Lepisosteus oculatus: one gene and its partners. The protein of the gene in region 1 interacts with the protein of each later gene in a pairwise test. Links are inferred from orthologs where the notes say so. Each region holds a gene or a part of one and is shown in the gene's direction. Other genes may lie near its edges.

The links.
Region 2: the proteins of prpf40a (region 1) and ccnl1a interact in binary tests that used the Homo sapiens proteins (3 or more experiments, as listed by UniProt). The link is inferred for Lepisosteus oculatus from reciprocal best matches to the Homo sapiens genes PRPF40A and CCNL1.
Region 3: the proteins of prpf40a (region 1) and ubqln4 interact in a two-hybrid assay, tested with the Homo sapiens proteins (2 studies listed by BioGRID and IntAct). The link is inferred for Lepisosteus oculatus from reciprocal best matches to the Homo sapiens genes PRPF40A and UBQLN4.

The regions. Positions count from the first base shown.
Region 1 is NC_090707.1:11,846,814-11,854,657, reverse strand, and holds the start of prpf40a (pre-mRNA-processing factor 40 homolog A), read left to right. Parts: upstream 1-4,816; 5' UTR 4,817-4,903; coding exon 4,904-5,026; intron 5,027-6,450; coding exon 6,451-6,531; intron 6,532-6,663; coding exon 6,664-6,789; intron 6,790-7,844. Other genes in the region: arl6ip6 (ADP-ribosylation factor-like protein 6-interacting protein 6), read right to left, coding at 374-506, 3,365-3,418, 4,053-4,392.
Region 2 is NC_090708.1:4,677,190-4,684,516, reverse strand, and holds the start of ccnl1a (cyclin-L1a), read left to right. Parts: upstream 1-4,288; 5' UTR 4,289-4,346; coding exon 4,347-4,586; intron 4,587-4,976; coding exon 4,977-5,051; intron 5,052-5,764; coding exon 5,765-5,874; intron 5,875-7,327. Other genes in the region: ankrd67 (ankyrin repeat domain-containing protein), read left to right, coding at 1-224. UniProt on the Homo sapiens protein: Involved in pre-mRNA splicing. Functions in association with cyclin-dependent kinases (CDKs). Inhibited by the CDK-specific inhibitor CDKN1A/p21. May play a role in the regulation of RNA polymerase II (pol II).
Region 3 is NC_090722.1:2,987,259-2,995,215, forward strand, and holds the start of ubqln4 (ubiquilin-4), read left to right. Parts: upstream 1-4,918; 5' UTR 4,919-4,986; coding exon 4,987-5,130; intron 5,131-7,957. UniProt on the Homo sapiens protein: Regulator of protein degradation that mediates the proteasomal targeting of misfolded, mislocalized or accumulated proteins.

The DNA.
Region 1 (7,844 bases):
GCACTGTTATGGAGGTTTACTGTAAAAGAACCCTCAAAGAGACACAAGAAAAAAATATGATAGTAGATTCTGTTATTATTTTAATACTGGTTTACATTAGAACAAACAAAAATACTGAATAAACTGCAGGATAAAGCTTCTATTTCTGTCAGTATTTCTGTCATTCTGAAGATGACGTTATGTCATTCTCAGTGCAGAAGATATTCGACACAGTCCAATAAATCTCCACCTGTTACGCTAGAAAAACTTTGGAAGTAAGAGATATGCTTACCTTCTATGGCTGATTAATTTTTTTGGCCTGTGCTAACCATGATTTGAGTTTTAACAATGAATCTGGGTTAAAATGAAATCCAAAGTAATAAATGCACCATACCTATACCGAGCCGGGGACAGAGGAGTTGGTGGGAACATGCCAGGCTCAAAAGAATCGAAGTACGTCAGGGTCCACGAGAAACTGCAGCATGAGATCCCAGCTATCACAGACAAAATCAGCAAACTCCAAAACCCTGTACGAAATTTAGAATGAAACAACAAAAATACACAAAATACCATCAGGGGGTTTCTGCTATACAGTAGTTTCCCAATTGACACAGATGAAATCAGAAGTGGGTTGAAATAGTTTTAAGATTGTGTTCTGGTTGCGCATGACTGATGGCCACTCGATATTATAGGCAGCTTCTACAAAAACAACGTCCTGTAAAGCAAGTGATGACATTCATTGGAAACATTATTTTAGCCAGCTGGTTAAAAATGTTAGAACTACATACTGTAGAGGTAGAAAAAATCATAAAGGAGCACTAAATACTTTGAACTAAGGCTTCTCTTAACCTCTGCTACAGTATATCCTGGATGTTCACAGTCACAGCCAGCCTGCTGCTTTTACTTTTGAAAGCTGTATTTAGCTGAGGAGAAACTGCAAATATGTTTGCTAAAATACCTGCATGACCTCATACAGCAGCCCTTGAGGAACATGCAAAGGTGAAGAGCTGTGCACAACTGCAAGAATCTGCAACAAAACGACACAACCTGCATTCAACCCTATTCATCAAGAAGAGACTTGCCAATCACACCCACTCCAATCACCATCCCTTCAACTCCATTAAACTCCCTTGTTGAAGATCTCCTCAAGCACTTCAAAACTCTCACTTTCAAAGACCACGAAGAACGTGAACAGGGGAGCTTGAATGAGTTTAATGAACAATTTGTGGCAGAGGTGTGAGTAGCAGAACTTTGATAAACAGCAGAATACAATCTTGAAATTTGAACAGTGCTCACAAAGGCATTTCATACAAGTCATGTAAACACCTTTACATTCACTCTTTATAAAAATAAAACTCAAGAGGCTAGGTAAAACACCAAGACTTACAAAGACTTCTGATTGACAGAATTAATGTTTTTTTTGCCTTCCGTTTATCCATATTATTCACTAGAAACACAAAAACTCTCTCTCTCTCTCTCTCTCTCTCTCTCTCTCTCTCTCTCTCATGGGAACACAACAATAGTTAGAGGCCATTCATACTATTTTGCTCTTTTTCAACTTTAAACTGTACAAAAACTCTATGACTAGTTCATACACCCTTTCTTGGCTCAATAACTTTACTTTTAAATGACATTCACGTGCTTTATTGTAGTTCAAGCAGGTATAGTAGATGCGTCAGCAAGCGTAGGCTGCAAAGGACAAAGTAAAGATTTATTCCATGCTCAATAAACCTTTACTTGTTCCAGGTGCTTTGTTGGTTGACTTGCATTAAACAATGTTAAAACACACCTTGTTCTTCATCAAAAACCCTCTGTAAGACACACCATGTTACATCATCACTCTTTACCAGAGCAGAGTCTGTGGATTTAAATTGCTTTAAAGATTCTAGCATTTGCACACAAGTAACATGAGCTCTTAATCCGATGCATTTTTCTTTTAGCTGAAATCCTTAATAACCCAACTGGCATTTTATGTAATCATTCTATACATCTGTAAATAATTTCAGTAACGTGTGAAATTTGCTCCTACTGTACCATATAAAATATTACAATATTTTATTTTTTTAGACATTTTTCCACCATTTTTTACAAACCAAAACTATTCTGAAATCACTGTTTTCTAAGAGACACTGTTAACATACAGTACGTTTTTTACTCTGGATTGTCATATACATGCACAATTCATACAAAACTAGCTCCCACAGACGTCCCAACAAGATATCAATAATTACATCTATATTTTCTAATATTAAACAAACAAAATGAAAGGGAACTACTGCTTTAATATTAATAGATGCAGTGAGAGTGCCTGTATAGTTTAGCAACCTCCATTCATATGGAAAACAATCCCATGATATACTTCCACGCACTAACCCTTCTTCAAGAACTAGTGCACTTTCCATGTACTGACATTCTAATTGTCCTGGAATTCTAGCTTTTCTTTAGAAATTTAAAGAATTAGTACATTTTCGCCACAACACTTTCTCCTAAATGAGATATTCATCCTATCCTTATCATACCATCTAAATAATGAAATAAATTATTCTTTATATATTATATATTATAACATATATCAAAATAACACATACTTAGCAGTTAACAGATAAAGGTGTTTTAAAAAGATACAATTACAATGTACAAATTGCATGGTAGTGTCTGTGCAGCATGCCTATTTAACCTTAAGGTGACAGAAACCAGTAAGTTATAATAATAATAATTGCTTACACTTATATAGCACTTTTTTGGACAAAGGGCTTTACAGGTAATGGGGACTCCCCTCCACCACCACCAATGTGCAGCATCCACCTGGATGATGCGACGGCAGCCATAGTGCGCCAGAACGCTCACCACACATCAGCTATAAGTGGGGAGGAGAGCAGAGTAATGAAGCCAAATCTTAGGCCATGATTGTTAAAGGCCAATGGGAAACTTGGCCAGGACGCCGGGGTACACCCCCGGTCTTTTCGAGAAATGCCCTGGGATTTTTAATGACCACAGAGAGTCAGGACCTCGGTTTTACATCTCATCCGAAGGACAGCGCCTGTTTACAGTATAGTGTCCCCGTCACTACACTGGGGCATTAGGACCCACATGAGCCGCAGGGTGAGCGCCCCCTGCTGGCCCCACTAACACCTCTTCCAGCAGCAACCTTAGTTTTTTCCAGGAGGTCTCCATCCAGGTACTGACCAGGCCTACACCTGCTTAGTGGGTTGCAGGGTGATATGGCTGCTGGCACTAGTTGAAAGAAAATAGCTGGTACCGAGAACACATGGAGAATTGCATGCTTGTTCTTATGGGTCAGTTTTAAATTCAAACATACAAAATCAGAGGACATTAGAACTACGGTTATTTCAACTGAAGTATTAGTTGTCTCAGTGGTTTTTACCTAACAGGTTTATCTCTGTGCCGTCTTCAGTTGTTAACGTCTCTGAACGCAAGTCTGAAAGAGAATGAAATGTACCAAAGTGTAACGTTATACTACATAACTAACGTTATGTACTAAAAAGACATATCCTTAAAAAACAAGTTGGCACTAAAAACAAGGGTAAGATAGGCTAATTTGCTTCCGTAAAGTTGCGTGACGTCGTGACATTAATTGTACATAGTATACGAAAGCGTATTGCTGTCTGCATGGAGATGTTATAATTCAGTTTCTTAATGAAAAAAATAAATAAAAACGGTGGGAAATTCGTTTACCGTGGTTTTGGCAGGTTTTTACATACTTTTCGTGCTATTAAATTATGAAAGTAAGACACGACCCAGAGTTGAGATAATTACTCAGTAGATTAAGTTAATTTTATACCCCATCATTATGTCATGCACGATACACCCAGCAGTCTTTGCCATATTTAGTAAAATAAATCCTGAGAAATAAGAACATTGACATAAACCCGATTAAATACAGCTTTTTCGCGTCTTGAATGCGAAAGTAAATCTAATCTGAATCTACCACAGAAAATGTTTTTCAACTGCTACCACAAGGTTAACAATTAAGCTAGTCCTGTAGCCCTTACTGTTGAAACTGTGTTTCAAATTAGGCGGAAAATTAATACAAAAAAGAACAAGATGGTTACCTTTTAAAATAACATAGAAGATCGCCAAGAGGAATGCAATGGCGGAAAATATAACTAAACAACAAATCATTGAAAATATTCTGGCTGGCCACTGTCTTCCATTTCTCAAGTATTTTTTATGAGGTACTGCAATCGTGTTTGTGCGCAACGGCATCTCTGAACTTGCTGGTAACGGAGCGCGGCTGATCATTAAAGTCGAATTTACGTCTAACCTAGCGGGGTGCTCTAAAGTCTCCAATTCCTCGTCCAGACTTCGCGTAACATTGCCTGATTCCCAGACCACAGAGTCAGACCCTTCAACTGCCTGATGAGCGCTGACCCGTCTAACACCCCGAGGCATATTAAAACAGCAATATCACAACTGATCTGCCGGACTGACTACAGTAATTAACCAAAGGCGCCTTAATCAAAAAATGAAAACGTTCTGATTTCAAGAAGTAATAAAAATAGAAACAAAACCTAAGAAGTTAAGTAATGGAGGTCTTTTTGAAGTTACCTAGCCATCTAGGAAATTTTACATAGGCTCCTGATTTTATTTGAATGTTTTTTTTGAATGATTCTGTTTCTGTTTTATAACAGTCTGGGCTAACACACGGTCAAAGAAAGCAATTACAAACACTACACATCATGCTCCGATCACCGATCTACATTCATCCCTCTCTCCCTGTTGCTATTTTCATTCTTTCAAAACATCGCGGCGCTCACTTCCGCAATCCTTCCACCATACGGAAACCATTTTCCACTCATATCGCAAACCGCCAATCCTGACAACCGTTATTGCTGTAAAAGGCGCTGCTATTGGCTACTTTCGATGTCAATCCATCGCAAAGCGTGTTCAATTGAGCCACACAATGACTACAAATGGCCTCGATCAGTTTTTAACTTTGCCCTTTCAACCCGGAGCGAATGAGCCTATTGTGTTGCAGTTTATTGCCGGGTGGAGAAGTTGGGTTAGAGAGTACACAGCCAACATGGTGAGTAAAGTTTGTGATATACTTTTTCATATATTTTACGCAGACTTTATGGTATATACAAAAAATAACAACAGATACTAGGAGTGAACATCTCTGTCATTATTTATTTAAATGGAAAATCAGCCCTTGCCTTTTCACATTACAAGCTTAACCATCGTTTGTGTTCGTGTTAGGGATTTCCTGCAATTCAGGGGACCCCTTTATTGAATAGAAAGGGTGTTTTCCCTCGGAAATCTCGGATGTGCATGATTTTTTATGGACTGTATTTCTATATAATGGTTACGGAGGCTCGAGACTGCAGATAAATAAATTTCCGAACTGCAGTGACTCGACATAATGTCTGGGCCTCTTATGAACGCGATAGTTTTTTGAAAAACAGCATTTGCTTAGAAACGTTTTCGCGGTATGTCCCTGTCGTTTATGTAAGGTTTTACCATCAAATTGGCACAGAGGTGGTCAGTGGGGGGTGTATGCGCAAAGCGAGGATACCGATTGAGCCCATAATCCTATAATTTAGGAGTGTGCAGCCCCTCGTTGAAAAACCAGAAATGATCAACAAATCGAAACAGTTCTGGAAGTTGTTAATGGGATTAAAATAGTGAATGGAGATTTAAGATAGTACTATGAGCTTGATTAAATGATAGACTGCCCTAGAAACTCAGTTTTGGTGCTTGGAAATTTAATATAGATTTAATATGTAGCTGCAAATGAGCTTTTTAATACATTTCAGTGACCGATGATTGTATGTTAAATCATTAACATTGAATCCTGCCATATTTTTCGACGGTATATGTTTTTTTTTTCAGCAATTGCTTCAGTTGCGAGACCTGTAAAGAAACGTACCTAGTCGTGCCTTTTGTTGATCTCGCAATATATGGGAAATTCTGAGGCAATGTCAAGAATGCTGATAGACGTGATCTTGAGTAGTTTAAATGAGTTAAAAAAAACAATGAAATGGCCATGTTTTCATCTGTGTTCCCTGTTCTACTTCACTGCTGTGTAACAGTAGTAATGTTGAATGAAGGAGTAGTTAACATCTAGACAAAGACTAGAAGCCAGTTTGGACAAATATACAGTATTCAGCGTGCCATTCAGGTTCAGATGCATAAGATTGACCACAAATACTTCTTAAAAGTAGGACAGACTTTAAAACATTTACTATCCTTAGTGAAAACTTCAAATACTCGTGAATTACAGAAAAAAAATGATTTGCTTGAATATGCAGATCTAGGGCATTCTTTCTTACTGTTGCACAAATGGTTCTGAACCACTGATCTCGATTTTCCTTTATAGCTAACTCTGCTATTTTTTTTTGGGAGGCTTTGAGTTACAATACTTGTTTCAGGTTTTGACTCCAGTACCTCCCAGTGTTCCAGCGTAGACACATGCAGTAATAACTGTATGGAGTTTCTTGTTTATGACAGTCTTCAACAGATGGTAATAATGGCCCGAGCCAAGCGGCACCTTTCCCAGGTGTCCCACCTTCAGGGATGCCACCGCCATTTGTAAGTTGGTGTTGGACAGTTCATTTATTCTTGAGTGTTTCAGTTTAGTTCTTCTTTTTCCCTTTGACAGCGGAAAATAAAATAATTCTTACCGGTTTTGTTTTTCTTGTCTTGTCTTCTGTGTGTTTTAAGATGGGACCACCTGGAATGCCACCTCACTTCCCTCCCATGGGAATGCCGCCCATGGGGCAAAGACCTCCAAACATGGCGCCCATGCCGCCGGGAATGATGCCTCCGATGATGCCACCAATTGGACAGGTGGGAGAAATATAATGCTCCTTTCAGTTTGCTAAATAGAACACAGCACCTCAGAGCCTGAAGATGTTTTATTTTCATTCAGTCCCTCTCCTAACAGTCGTGGTTGTTTTGCAAACTTTACTAAATCCCTCCATCCGTCTGTTTTCTAATTCCATCGATTCGCTGTCTCAGAGGACCTGGACTCTGGCTCGGCAAGTGACGGGCGCAAGCCAGGGTCATATATACGTGGAGGTTATATGTTCTCCCCATGTTCACCCGGTGGAAACCCATGTAATATAATAACAATGTTTCTTTATTAGCCCTATACAATTTCTTGCATTAGGAATGCGTCTTTTCGCATACCCCAGCTTTTCTCCACGGAGACACAGACACACAGACAGGGAGAGAAGCTTGGGGTCAGAGCGCAGGGTCTGCCATTGTACGGCGCCCCTGGAGCAGCTGGGGGTTAAGGGCCTTGCTCAGGGGCCCAACGGAGCAGGATTCCTCCGCCGGCCGCGGGATTTGGACCGGCAACCTTCCAGCCACGGCCGCAGATCCTTAGGCATAGAGCCACCGCTCCGCCCTTTTTTTTTTGTGAATGTGGGGAGAACATACAACCTCCATACAGATAGCACCCCAGGTCAGGGTTTGAATATTGCACTCCAGTGCTGTGAGGCGGCAGTTTTAATCAGTGTGCCACAACTTTGCTCAATCAACTTTGGGGGGGAAAAAGATTCACTAGGATGTTAACACTTGTTTTCTTATGTCTAGTTGTAAAGGGCAACTGCAACACTTTTTTTATATTTTGGGGTTAGAAAGAATCAGCATTGATGAGTGCATTTCAACAAACATTTCTGACAAGGATTTTAAGTTTTTGTCATTAAGACACCTCCTTAGACCTGGCCTGTGTACTGTGTTTACAGTATTGTTAGCAGGATCATTGACTTTTCTCCTCCAAATATATTTTTTTTGGAGAGAGTGAGCATTGCTTAAGTGCTTTTAGTATGCTCATGTGTGACCTTACTAGAGTGATTCCTCCTTCACAACATTTGTAAATGTTTTAGGCCACAACTTAC
Region 2 (7,327 bases), on another chromosome or scaffold:
TGGGCAAGACCGCCCTGCACCTCGCCTCGGAAAGGGGCCACAGCAAAATGCTGAAGCTCCTGCTGGACAAGGGGGCCGACGCCTCGCTGGAGACGCACTGGAAGGAGACGGCTCTAGACCTCGCTCTGGAGAACAAGCAGTCCGGCGCTCTGCAGGTCATTCAGGGATACAGCAAGCCTCATCCAAAGCCGAAGGTTAAACACGTGCTATTCAGTTTGCAGTAGCGCACGGGCTTTTACAGAGAAAACTAGATGACGGAATATCGAACTGATGAATTCTGCAACACGTCCATGTGCTTTTTGTGCAACACTGCTAATGGGATGCTAAGATTATTCTTTCTAATGTTGTGAATGGGAAATCAGAGCTCTGTACACGGACTGTGGCTATATGGACGTTCACCAGCACAATTGTGGGGTCACAAATCCCCCCAAAACAGAGAGATGATTAAAAGCGTTTTATGAGTTAACAAAGAAAACGTGAAAACAACTGGCGTCCATGTTAATGTTTTCTTATTTCATATTCTATACACTTCCGTGAATGGTGTTTTTGAGTAACACAGTCTACAGAAAAATGAAAACCGGAAAATAATTAATAAAAGAGGAATTTCTGTTTCCGACGTAATATTACATTCAACACCTCCTCCCACCGAAGAAGGCTCCACAGCCGAAACGTTTCTTTTCTTCTCTTTTCAGCATGGAATAAACCTTTACTTGTTCCTTTGCTGCCTTCCTAATTGTATTTAATTTTAAAAAATCAGTTCTACTGTAACTCCCAACTCTAGTGAAATTGACATGATATAATCAGAGAGAATAACTCCTTGGGTTAAGACCAGGTTTTATTGTTAAAATAAATACTTAACCACAGGGTAGTGAGTACTCAGTCTGAAAAAGTCTTCTTGTTTTTCCACTCGCTTGTGTTTGCCCACATTGTTAGGATCTCAATTAAACAACTGGGCTGATTTTCAGGTTGAACGAGTTTTACCTGTTCGTACCCCCTCACTATGACTTTTTGAGTATTGGGTAGAACAGGAAACTCACCCAAATGGTCCTCAGATCGATCTCCTAATGAAATGTAGCCCCCAGCTTGGTCATTGTCAAAGTGTTGGTTTTGTATTCTCTGAACCACAGGCTTCTTCTTCTTCTTCTTCTTCTTCTTTTTCACAGCCTTAGTCCCAGACTGTCCTGGGGTCAGCTGCTTTGGTTGCTCTTCTCCATTTGTCTCTGTCGAGCACATCTTCCTCACTCACTTCACATACCTCCATATCTTTTCTCACACAATCTATCCATCTCTTTCTAGGCCTGCCTCTTCCTCTGTTACCTTCCACCTCAAATTCCATTACCCTCTTTGTTACTTCCTCAACATCCCTCCTCATGATATGTCCATACCACTGTAACCTCGCCTCTCGCATCTTCTCAACCACATCCACCACCCTACATCGTCTACGGATTTCTTCATTTCTGATCTTATCCTTCATTGAAATCTGCAGAATCCATCTCAACATCCTCATTTCAGTTCTTCTCATCAAGTTTTCTTCCCTCTTTCCAACTGCCAAGCATTCAGCTCCATATAGTAGTACAGGTCTAATCACAGTCTTGTACATTTTGCACTTTAACTTTCTGGGAATTTTCCTGTCACAGATTATTCCAGTTATCTCTCTCCACTTGTTCCATCCAGCTTTCACTCTTTGTTTTACTGCCTCCAGTGTTTCTCCTCCCTTTACCAGTTTTGATCCAAGGTATTTAAAGTCATCAACTTGTTTCAGTTTTCCTCCATTTGTCTCCTCAACATTGGTCATAGTATCTATTCTCTGAACCACAGGCGTTAAACCAAATTTTGATTTTATGTCTAGTCTAAAGCTTCATTTTTAGGAAACTCACTTCAGCAGTGTGCTTGAAAAGTGCACTTATAAATGACTAATTTGCTGCATTCATGTGTTTAGGAGTGGGATCCGAAGACAAAAAAAAAATCACAGGGACCCTTAACATGTAGGTTTGTACATTTGCAGTGCACCATTTGAAATAATGATAGCAGTTCAAGCAAGATGTAACCTGGCAAGCAAAAAAAATGAAACCATAAGATCTTACAAGGTCTAGGAATCAGTTTTTTTATTTTTCATAGTGTTGCAGGTGGCAAAACTGTTAATTACAAATATAAAAATGGAAAACATTGCACTTGGCGTGAAATGTGAAACATCTGCTTATGACAAACGACAGGTGTTTTTAGACTATTTTCACCCTCTAGGCTATGTGGAAGTGATAATGAAGACAAACTGAATACTTACACGGTTAAAAGAGAAGAATTAAAATCATGGAATGTTTTGTTAAAATTGAACAATGAACTAGTATTACCTACTTTAGAATATTATATACAATTTAGCTCACCGTGTTATGCAAATTATGTTGTAGCTCTAGAATCACTCCAGAAATTAGCAATAATTTTAGTCTGAAGCCTGGAAGACTGAGGGATCCTTACTAATTTATTGAAAATGCTCAAATGCACTAACAAAGACAACCAAATCGACTCAGAATCAATAGAGAAACATGAACCACATGATACAGATGGAAACTAGGGAGGTGCATTTTTAACAAAGAACTGGAGGCACTTTTTACACAAAGGACTGTGGGAGTCAACCATGTTGTTGAAGCCGAAAATCCGGTTTCTTTCAAGAAATGGCTGGATGAGATCATCCCATTAGCTACTAGCAACCAAATTTTACTTCTAAATTTTTTTTTTCTTCTGGTTAAAAGACGAGAAGTCCACCTTCACTACACATGCAATGTGTGACACTCGTAGATAAAAGTTAACTGGAACAAAGAAATGACTGCAAAGGAGTTGTTTAATCAACCACCCAACATACGTTTCACCTTTTGCCACTCGCCTGTATACCTGTCCTTTTCAAAACACAACTTTTACTTGACTTTGAGGAACCAAATATATTTGGTACGTGCTGTCCCTCTCAGCTCAACCGCACACCTCCGCCAGTCTTTCACCGTTTTCCGTCTTGTTTTAAAAACTACACTGGCCGAACTCCGCAACAAACTTCAAACTCGCTTCCTTGCCTACCGCCCCCTAACGTTGACTTGCTTCGTACGGGTCTTAGGAAAGAGAAGCCGGAAACCGAGCACAAAAGCCGGTAAGTGACGACAGCGGCTGGCGAAGTGGGCGTCTGGGCACCGCGGCCGCCATAACGCCGCTCGGCTTACGTCGCACAGACGTTTCCCAGGGTCCATTTCGCAGGAAAAGAGCGGTTGACGTCACACGGCCGGAGCGGCGGCGGAGTGATATGTGCGAGGTCGCGGGGACTTCCCCAGTCACGACTGGGTGGGTGAAGGGTTTCAAAAGGCGTTTTGCGTGCTACTCCTCGCTGGCCGACAGCAGTGACCACAGGATCCCGAAACAGTAGATTATTGAAATGCACATGTCGTTAAAAGTGTTGGCTTGGAAGACGGGGAAGGGGAGACGCTTGACATGTAAAATCGCGCAGACAAAAACGACTGCATGAATTGAAATTGCACTCGCATGTAACACAGAATGTGCTTGTAAATCATTGACAGCTTTATTAAAAAAAGTCAGAAAACAACAATCAGCGCAATTGATCGCCCCTATAACGGGGTGAGATATTCCTGTGAGGACAGCATGTCTTCTGGTCCTACTGTATTGTGTCGTGTTTTCAGTCATTAGAGTACAGCACACACGCTGGCTCACATAGAAACAAAACAAAAGCATCACAGAATCGATATTCTTAATATTACACATTTAAACATAACAAGAGGCTTTTATCGTATCTTGGGTTTCAAAAACGTCCTCTCTTCATATCATTTTTCAGTTTGATAGAAGTTAAAAGTTACTCCTGTACGCCGTCGCTAAATATCATACACTTGTAGCTGTATGATCAAGTTATATTATGGGTTTTTTTTATTTAAACATTTTAAAACAATAAGAATCAGATAAAACCCCACACGATACAAAAAACACCTCAAAACTGAAACAAAGAAACACCAACAGCCAAAGAACAGCGAAAACTTGCTTGTGCCCCTTTATTGTCAGTTTTGTTTTCATTATAATAATTAAAAGGTGTACAAATTATATAATTCCAGAAAAAGTGTGTGTAAAGCCATCTGTGTTGAACTGAAAAACGAAACAGTCCTGTTTTCATTCCACGATTTAACTTTGGAAAATCTACAACAGGAGTACAGGGACTACTTCCTCCCCAGGTTGTATTTATTTGCGGGCGGATACAGTTCACCGCGCCTGGTGTCGGTGTTCTTCGGCTTGCCTACGTCACCGCTGTCCCTTTCCTACTCGCGGTGCGGGTGCCGAGTTGAGTACTTTCGACTGATGCTAAGATGGCCGGCGGTTCTGTCTCTGCTGTCCCCACCATCCCTGCCGCCAATGAAGGGATACTTATCGGCGACAAGCTCTACTCCGAGGTCTATCTCACCATCGACAACTCCCTCATCCCGGAGGAGAGGCTCTCCCCAACGCCGTCGATGCTGGATGGCCTCGACCTCCACGCCGAGACCGACCTCCGTATCCTGGGCTGCGAGCTGATCCAGTCGGCCGGCATTCTGCTCCGGCTGCCACAGGTATGTGAGAAACCGACCCACGGCGCGGCAGCGTTCGTTTTCTGGCTGTTCTTTTTCTTATTATTTAAGAAAATAATTTAGTTTGGTTCATTTCAGGGTTTTTTAAAGCCACCTGTCCCGTAGTTTCCATTGTCCATTAAGTGTGTAATACCCCCCAAAACAGGCATCAGTGCCCGATAAACACCGCAGAACACATATTATGATTGCGATAGTAGTTACTATGCTTTTCTAGAATATTTCCCCGGTGAATCGCGATCCGCGGGAATGCGGTAGTGTTGTCTTTTCCTGTTGGCGAAGAGGCTATAAATGACAAAATGGCGGGCGCCATGTTGTGCAAGACGGGCCGTTGTGATGTCGTTTGTGACATTCTTTTCCCTCCTCGTTCTGTAGGTGGCCATGGCTACGGGGCAAGTGCTTTTTCACCGGTTTTTCTACTCGAAGTCCTACGTGAAACACAGCTTTGAGGTGAGTTCTTTTGTCCTCCCGTGCCTGAACTAGCGGTGCGCACTTTCGGCGGAGCGCCATGTTGTGTAACACGTTTCCAGTGAGGCTGGCCTCGCTCGGGAAAGCACGCAAGACGGCGATTAAAAAAGGCGGCAGCCGTGGACTTCGAAATAGAAGTCCACGAAAAAGATCCGCGTTTTAAAGCCGAGGTGGTAGAGTGTAACTAAAAAGCGGTGGTTGTTGTTTTTTTTTTTACTTCGTAAGAGATGCGCAAGAACAAAGGCCGGACTGTCGCCCTGCTCGATGGTTAGTTTTTAAGGTGACTTCGGTGTATGGATGTACGAGGTCTAATTTATTTGTACGGTACACGTGATATATCGATGCATTTGATCGCGTGATTTGCGAGTTAATAGGGCGAGGAAGCGAAACTAAAATTGCCGGATAATTCAAATGACGTCACCACATTCTTCCGAGCAGCCGTTAGCAGTAGGTGTGGGGGCCTACATCCGGTGAATAGGCCCAGCGTGTTTTACAGCCCTTTGTCTCAGCGTTGTGCACATAGGATCTGGAATATGTACCAAGTCCAGATAAGATGGGGTCCAAAAGGATTGCAAGGGCATGCGTGAAGATCCGCGTTAAATGACAGCCCCCCCTAAAGTGTCCCGATGATTTCTGTAAATTGCTGTGTTTCTGCTGAGGACCCATGTTGCCTAATTAAAATGACTTGTTTTCAGATTGTTGCCATGGCTTGCGTAAATCTCGCCTCAAAGATTGAAGAAGCACCAAGGCGTATAAGGGATGTGATAAATGTGTTTCATCACTTACGGCAGCTGAGAGGAAAAAGGTAAGCATTATTCTAAAGTCCCTCAATTGTGTAACCTTGTTCCTCAATTGTCAGTTTTCTCTCCCCCATATCAGGTTTTTTTTTACAGTTTTAATTGCTCTCATTTTTGATGTAAGTTAAACTATCTCTTAAATAGACTTATTAAAATCTGAAACATCTTGAACTTATGCACTACTGTTTTGTAAGTAGACTCCAAATACTCTGTAATATGCTTTTCCCTCTCTATAAACTTTGAAATTAATTGGCAAGTAATCTTTTTTTGCTCTCTAGATTTTTTTGTAAGCCATCTTAAGTTTTTATTTTTGTATATGCTAAATGCTTACCTAGTGTGGTGTGTTTCACTGTCTAATAGTGACTGAAATTTGGGTTACCATCTTAAGAATTGAATATGTTATTCTAGTAAGTGAGAATTAGTGAGCGAATTTAGTTAGTACATGTTTCGTCCTTACCTTATTTTTGTGTTAACTTGTTCAGGGTAAAGTTAGGCCATGGTATTAACTTCAGTTCTTTTTTCCCTTGCAACCAACTAACAGCGACCAGCTACATTTACCAAAGCCTGGGTGATGTGGAGTGGTACGTAGAGATGAAGCTGTCGGCATGGCAACAGTGAATTCCCCATGAAGAAGCCAGTGGTCTGAGAACGGGTCACTGGAATCGGGGACTGTCAGGTTGGCCGCTGGTGAAAGCGTCTGGAAAACTCCTGTATCTCAGTCTAAGCTTTAGTCTTTGCTGTCCAGGTGGTACATTTGCAACACATGCCATGGCTTTCACAGAAATACATTTCGCATGTACGTCTTGTTTATTTTTTTTAAGACCTCTTGATGAAGTATCCCCCATACATGTTGAAAATTGACATTGGGATTCTGCCACAAGGTTTTAGATTTTGAAACTAGTGTAGACTTAATGTCCTGCCTGCGTTTGTGAATAATTCAACTGGTATAAGAGCACCATTATAATGTACAATATTCATAAAATCAAATATTTTTCACTTTTGCTGCATTAATTGCTAATTTTCCATTCAGTTTTCCAGAATACCCTTTTTAAACTGAAGAGAGGATTTATTACATAAGTTGTCTTGTGTTTTAAGTACCTAATTGATGGGTTTTCCTGACGAGAACCTGACAATCCCATACTTGAGCCGATTTGGTTTGAAATTAAGGGTTGAAGTTAATGTACTTTTAATATTAACCTTTTCTTGTTAAAACCGAGTACACCCTAGTGTCCATTTCCACCTTGGAATTGCTTGCTTAATTGAAGACTTTGAAATGGTTCTTCGGATTGTAGAAAGTGAAACGTGCCATTACGTGTAGTGTAGAGAAATATCCGAAAAAGACAAGTATGTTTTATTTGTAGTACTTTTGTGGCTATCGCAATTGCAAACGGTTACACAAGGTTAAAACATGACCTCTTTAACTCATTCTTTAATCCTTTGTATTTTCCTTGAAGTGATAGG
Region 3 (7,957 bases), on another chromosome or scaffold:
TACTCTGAAGCCTGCAGTATGGTCATGCTTTCTTGCCAAATTGTCTGTTGTTTTTTTTGGCTGACAAGCAAGCAAGAATCCACAGTCAGAGATGAAACAATTAAGATATTCTAAGGGGGTCTTGTTGAAGCAGAAAATACTCTGCTTATATGTGTAAAACTGCACATTCATATATGCCGTGTCATAAAAACGAAATATGACAATGGGTCACATTTCTAATTCAAATTATTGTGTGCTTATACGATCTCACCTGTGTGCCATTTACATGCAGGTCTAGATTAAAAAGACCAATATCTCATGAGGGTATTCAGGAATATAGTGTATCTGTAAAAAGCTGTCAGTGTTACTAGGTTAAGAAAATTTTAATTTATCAGGTTGAAAATTAAAATAGGTACTTCACGGATCAGTACCATTCAAATTAAGAGGCAAAAGACATGAACACAGTGTGTTAAAAAAATAATAACTAAAAATGCAAAGAACATAAAATGGATAAGCTTTATTACATATCCAGAACAAAATCCTGATGTTAAAAATATTCCTCGCAGTACAATTTATCAAAGGCTCCACTGTACCAGGCTTTCAATATAGTTGACTGAATACTTCACCTAATATTATAAACACCTTATGCTAAAACAAAATGATTAAGAGAGAAAGGTTTGGAATTGCATATGAGGACAGTGTTTAAAACATGTTAAGATTAATAAATTTGTGTTGTTTCTGTATGCCTTTAGCTGGGGTACAGACTGAAGGTGAGGAATTAAGACAACAGAGTTCATCTTACATTAAACAGGCTGGTTTGAGCTGAAATAAAATGCCAGTTTGGCACAATGAACACTGAAAGCCAGGAAGCCACGTAGAATCTCACAAATTATGATATAGTAATATTAATATCCTGGCACCTGGTTCACCTGCTAACTCGCAGTAGATGTATGGTTTGTGTTTTTGATACATAATTAGAACAATACAGTTAGTAATGAAGTTGCTGTTTAAATGATCATCTTGACAATGAGGCAAAACAAAGTTACATTGTTATTATTTATCCTACCACCAACCCTGTATACATGACCAATAATACAATGGAAATATGGTATATAAGCATGGAAATGCATCCTATTCAGTCAGACCTGGGGTGTGTGTGGGAGTTCGTACTGTATGTGCTCTCACAGTCCAAAGATATGCTGGTGGGTTAACTGGCTTCTGTGAAAACTGGCTCTGGTGTGAGTGTGTGATTGTGCTTGTGTGTGTCCGGCGTGGACACACTTTGTGCCTGTTGCATGCTGGGATTGACTCCATCGCAACCCTGAATTGGGTAGAAAAAGGATGAAATGTAAAACAGCCTTCTGCTTTTATACAGTGTTTGCATTATTTCCAGTCATACCTCTATATCCGCCTTTATTTCCTGAGGTGCCTCAAGCGATGGGGGATGCCAGTACCTGTGTTGGTGAACTTCTATCGCTGCACCATCGAGAGCGTCCTCACCAACGGGATCACCGTGTGGTACGGCAGCACCTCTTCTCGAGAGAGAAAGGCACTGCAGGGAATGGTCAATGTGGCCCAGAAGATCATCGGCTGTGGTCTCACCGAGATTAAACAGCTCTATGAGGACCGCTGCCGTGGTAGAATTCTGGCCATCACAGAGGACAGTCACCACCCCGGGCATGAGCTCTTCACCCCACTGCCCTCAGGCAAGAGATATAAGAGCATACGGACACTTACCACTAGATTCTTCAATAGCTTCTATCCACAAGCAGTGAGACTGGCGAACACATTTAGCCATCCCCCTCGGACCACACCTACACCATCACCATCTACCTCATTATGATTTCTTGTCTATTGCACATCTCCAGTCACTGTTTACACATCTGTATTGTTTACATTCAAACTGTCTACATGTTTACTTGCACATTGTCTATTGTTTTTTTGTATATTGTCTTGATGCACTGTTTGCACTTTGTTTTAGTTTTTACACTTGTTTTACAATCGAGAGACTTTCTGTCAGTAAGAATTCCATTGTACCAGTACATGGACCAGTTACATATGGCAATAAAGTTCAAGTTCAAGTATATGTCTAGGAAAAGAATCACTTGGGATACTGATTGGAACTAAGCCCATATTGTGTTTTTGATGGTTTTAATTCGCCTGAACCATTAGAAACTGGAAATAAAAAAAACGTGCAGAATAAACCACCACAAGGGTGAATACATAGGGCATGCATAAGAATCCTTTGGCCATGGTACACACAAATGGCAGATCAATTATACAGGAATTATAGGGATTCTAAAAATGGTGTTAAAATATATTGGCTTATACACTTGTTTCTGTGGCCAAGCGCATGAATCAGTCTCACAGTTTTCTCACATACAATTGCTTGACATCAATATGTTGGACAGGTGACTAAATACTGATCTTTCTCAGACATTTCTTTAAAATGACAGCATAATTTGGGCGGAATGGTGGAGCACTGATCAAAATTGTTGCCTCGCAGGGCAGGGGTCCTGGGTTCAATTCTGGACCTGCGGAGCTGTCTGTGTGGAGTTTGCATGTTGTCCCTGTGTCCGTGTGGATTTTCCCCAGGTGCTCCGGCGTGTTCACTCACGATTACTCTGGATTTACGACAGGTGAACTCCATCAGTGGTTCACGTCCAAATGTCTCTCCCTCTTGCTTGTTAGAGTAAGAGGCATTAAAATGGGCAGTTCATCACTGCAGGAGTCATAATGAGTCCAATATATGATGTCCTGTAATAAAGAGCCAGTCGGTTGTCTTCAACTAGATGTTTCCTGTAACTGTTTATCTCTTGCATTGGTTTTTAGTTTTGGGGCAGTCTTTGTCACGAACACGGACTGAGATCCGTGTCGGGTCTTGTAGTAGACCCTATGCGATGCAGTAAGAGCTGGAGAAAACAGGAGGCGTGGTAAAAGGAAACACACAGGGGTTTAATAGTGCACAGAATAATAGTGACAGTCCGTGAGACGGTGAACTGGGGAGACAAAGAATGACATCCAAATCCAAACGGGTCCAAAGGCAGATCAGGGCACAGTCCAGGAGTCCATCAGCGAGTTATCCATCCTGGGACGCGACGAGGTTAAAATCCCCGGTTAAAATCTCATGTATTATATCAGGTATCCCATGTCTTCCGAAAACTTTCCGCAGTTTCTCCTAAATGAAACTATCGCTCCCCCCGTCTCATGCAAATGCATGAAAAACCTCCAGAGAGATACCAGCTCTGCTTGTCCCTTTGTTCTTTCTCAGTCTTAGGATTCTCCAGGCGGTGGCAAACAACTGGCTGTTTAATAATTTTGAAATCATACAAAAATGTGCTACTTTTAATGTACATTTGGGTGCATCACTTTTACCTACTTATGTTGTACTTGTAACGTAAGGTAACCCCATGAAGTACATTTTGTTTTACTACTATATATACTTTATATGGCCAGCAGCCATCTCACCCTGCAACTCACGACTGGCAGCCCACTGAAGCTCAGCAGGAGTGAGCCTGGTCAGTAGCTGGATGGGAGACTCCTGGGAAAAACTAAGGTTGCTGCTGGAAGAGGTGTTAGTGGGGCCAGCAGGGGGCGCTCACCCTGTAGGCTGTGTGGGTCCTAATGCCCCAGTATAGTGATGGGGATACTATACTGTAAACAGGTGCCGTCCTTTGGATGAGACGTAAAACTGAGGTCCTGACTCTCTGTGGTCAATAAAAATCCCAGGGTGTTTCTCGAAAAGAGTAGGGGTGTTACCCTGGCGTCCTGGCCAAATTTCCCATTGGCCCTTACCAGTCATGGCCTCCTAATAATCCCCATCTATGAATTGGCTTCATTACTCTGCTCTCCTCCCCACTGAGAGCTGATGTGTGGTGAGCGTTCTGGTGCACTATGGCTGCCGTCGCATCATCCAGGTGGGGCTGCACACTGCTGGTGGTGGAGGGGATCCCCATTACCTGTAAAGCGCTTTGAGTGGAGTCTCCAGAAAAGTGCTATTATTATTAATTAAAAAATTATTATTAATTATTATTATCTGGTACATTGAAATTTTAAAAGGACTACGAATCTTATTGCTGCCTAGGTTCTTAAGAGGAAAAAACAAGCAGGATCCACATACTTCAGTATTGTAATAGTAATGTGACTTCACATTTCATATAGTATTGTGGCATAGAGAGAATGAGCAGACAGCAGGCGAGCTGCAGCAGTAAGGAGAGGAATTTATTGCCCTTTTGTGTACAGAGGTGCGCTATGCTAGTTGCTGCAGGTGGGGGATGGGAGTAGGGGCTCACAGCTGCAAGGTTACCCCTAGCATGCCACCAGGGACAAGAGGGAGAATGCCTCAGGGTCCCCCCTTATATAGCTCTCCTGGAAGGAAGGGGAGACTGCTGGGAAGGGTCAGAGGGCGACGGTCCGGTCCACTGCTGGAGGGGGGGGGAGCAGAACGCTGCAGTATTTTATAAACGTATTTCAAAAGCACTTTTTCCTTTTTACTGGCATTCATTGTTCGCCACACACTGCCCTTTCCTTCAAACATTCTCACACGCTGATACGGTGTGTTTTTGTTTCAGAGGATCTCACCGGATCTTCAAATGACACTACACAATCTCATAAGAAAATATCAAAGAAAATTCAAAGCATACGGTAAAGTAAGTAACTCAAGATGCTTGTCTCTTGCCCATTTGCCCTGTGTTCTTTGGGGATTTTCTCTGGGTGCTCCAGTATCTTCCCACCTTCAAAAAGACATGCAGTCTTGGAGTCTCTGAATGTGCAACCTGCGATGGACAAGATGCTCCCAGATGGACGCCGGGATGTGGCCATTTCCGGTGTCATGCATGGCTTTAGGTGTAATACCTCCTCCTCGCCGCCAGAGGCCCCCCCAGCGGAAGCGAGGCCGTTGCGCTGGGCCGGGCGCTGGGATGAGGTAGGGGCACGGAGGGGGGGTTCTTACCTCTTGCCGGCTCGAGGCTGCTCGTCAGTGACTCAGTGATAACAGGAGGAGTAAAGATGGCGGACAGCAGCGGCACAGACCCCGTGAACAACAACAATAACAAAAATATCGCCTTGGAAGGGAATATTATCAGGGTCACGGTCAAAACCCCGAAGGACAAAGAGGAAATTGCGATCGTGGAGGATGCCTCGGTTACACAGGTCTACCCTTTTCGTTATAAAATGTGTCTGTGTGTTTCGTCGCCGCAGTCGGGTGCGCGTCAGCGTGTTTCTCGGTGTCTCTGGAGCTGGCGCTGCGAAATGAATGGCACGGGAGGGACGGACCTCTGTAGTCGCCCACCTCCATTTCTTATACTTCCACCTCCAGAGTAAAATGTCTGGGAGGCAGGAGGATAAGCCGGGGTGCCTCATCTAAAGCTGGCGGGCGATCCGTGCCCAATCGTGAAAAGGCTCCGACAGAGCCCTCCTAGGCTGCGTGCTGTCACGCGTCTGACAAGTTGCTCGCCATGAAAGCTGAATTCACCCAGATCCCTTCTTGTTTTGAAACATCAGCGCTCGTAATTGAATGCTGATCTCCATGCCCCCACCCCCTGGATGTTGTGTAGGCCTGCGGGCGACAGCAGCGCCTTGAATGTTCTCGACCGGGGGCCGAAACGGGCACGACAGTGAGACGGTCCACGGGTCACTAGGCCTGGAGTTCAGCCGGGGCTTGTCGATCCCCCCCGCTAACCCAGAGGTGGGGAGTCGGTCTCTGCTGTTCGCCTGTTGCCCCGCAGACCTCTGCAGCAGGCGTGGGGGTTTGATTTTTCCGTCTGCGCGGTCAGCGTAGCCTCTAAGTGCCGGTTTTTCCATCTTGGCTTGCGGTGGGTGGGACGTGACCGATTCACGTCTCACGGAGTTGAGTCTGAATGGAAGATTGCAGTTTTCTATCTATGCCGTAACGAGCCGTGGCCAAAACTCGCCTGCAGGACCCAGCATCTGGCTGTTCGATCAAGATCGGGTTGGCCTTATAAGATACCTGCTGAACGGCATCACCTTTGCGTGGGGGTGGGGGTGAGGGACAGTGTCTCGCAGGTCTTTCACCTGGGAACCTGTGATCGCCGTGATTAGTGGAACCGGCCTGCTTGTCGGTTCGTGTTCTGTCTGTCCTTCTCTGAGGTTTCTGTTCTTTGGGCGAAACTGGCTTATGGCGCAAAAGGCTGAGTCATTTTGAAAAATGTGTACTAAAGCTCACGTGAAAGGTGGTAAGATCGTGTCATCTAAAGCTTTCAGAACCTCAAGGCGGATCGGGTTTTTTTTTATTCCACAGTTCAGATTCGTCATAAAGTTCATAGCTCTGCAATAGCGCGATCGTCCCCTGTTTGTGAAGATGAGCCCTTTTCCCCCGTTAAACATGTCAGCTAGCTGACATCATGTCAGTTACAGAAGTTAGTTGTCATCCATTTTAAAAGGTGATGCACCGAGCCCCCGCGTGACCTGCAGTGCTGTTGTTGGTGTGAAAGGTCTCTCTGTGCATTGTCAGAGGTCTAGTAATGTCCCGTGTCCCCGTGCTCCGTCTAACACTAAGCTAGCTCATTTTGAGCTCTTGGGAGCAGATGGATACATCCCAGGCTTTTTTTCACGTGCTCCGTTATAATCTAGATGTGATTTTTAAGGAGAATCTCTATTTTCAAATATAGGCTAAATCTCACGGGTTTTCATCTCACACAATAATCAACTTTACTTTTATATAGCGCCTATAAAAGTGGCTTCTCAAAGCAGTTTACAGAACAGCAAACCCAAATAAATACACATAATAGATGGGGGTATGGGATACAGTAGGGAAGTAGAGGGAAGCACACAGAACCAGTTAGATAAGATGAGATCACTTGATTAGCCCTATGGCCCTATTTGTCTTTTCGCATACCCCGATTTGCTCTCCATGACGCACACAGATAGGGAGAGAGAAGCCTGGGGTCAGAGCGCAGGGTCTGCCATTGTACAGCGCCCCTGGAGCAGTTGGGGTGAAGGGCCTTGCTCAGGGGCCCAACAGAGTAGGATTCCTCTGCCGGCCGCGGGATTTGAACCAGCAACCTTCCAGCCACAGGCGCAGATCCAGAGCCACCGCTCCGCCCCGAAATACTGCATCCTCAGCGAGAATCGTACCCCTAGACCAACGAGCAACAGTTAAAAGAAAGCCCTTCACATTAATAGCGACAGGCAGCAGCTCCCACCTTGTAGCCTGATGTAATCTCCACTCAAAAGCTGAGCTGAGTTTGGCCTGATCAGTACTGGGACTATGGAATCCAGACTGCTGTTGTGGTGCTGCAAGTGTAAGCAACTCCCAGACCAGGGCCCCAGTGTGGTGATCAGGGGCCCTGTGCTGTCGCAGCTGCTGTCCAGTGAGTGAGACCTCAGACTGAGGTCTTTTACAGGTCCCAATGACACCATGCGTTACAGTCCAGTTGTTGGCTCTGTTGTCCAGGCCTACATGAAGATCCCCCTTATCTCAGCTGGTGGAGCAGTTTCTCACTTTTCCACCTGATCCTGGTCCCCTTTTCTATATGTCTTTGGGAGCCTTTGAAGTGAAAAGTGCTGTATAAATTCGGTGAATTCATCGGCTGTATTAAGGAGACCTCATTGCCCAGCTTAATGTCTCCTGTGAGGGTAGTTACCAGAGGTTAGTCCTGTTTTTAAGACATCAGAGGAATGGTCTTGGAAATGTTGGCTGTTGAAGTTCTAGGTAGATGATTAGAGGTGAGTATCTGGCCACATCGCAGGAGCAGGTTTCCTGGAATCTGTAAAGTAAGAGCTGGGGGGAGGTCCTTGGACATGAAGCTATTCACAGACTAACGCAGCTGATAGGTTTATTCCATGCATGGAATAAACCTATTACTTGTTCCTTTGCAGCCTACGCATGCTGACGCAGCTACCCACCTGAACTACTAACGCAGCTGATGCCTCTCGTCTGTAACCTCTCTGGCTCTTGCGCCTCGGAGCTTGGCTGTTTGTGCTGCAGCACTCCACGGTGTTGGTATTTTGTAGAAAT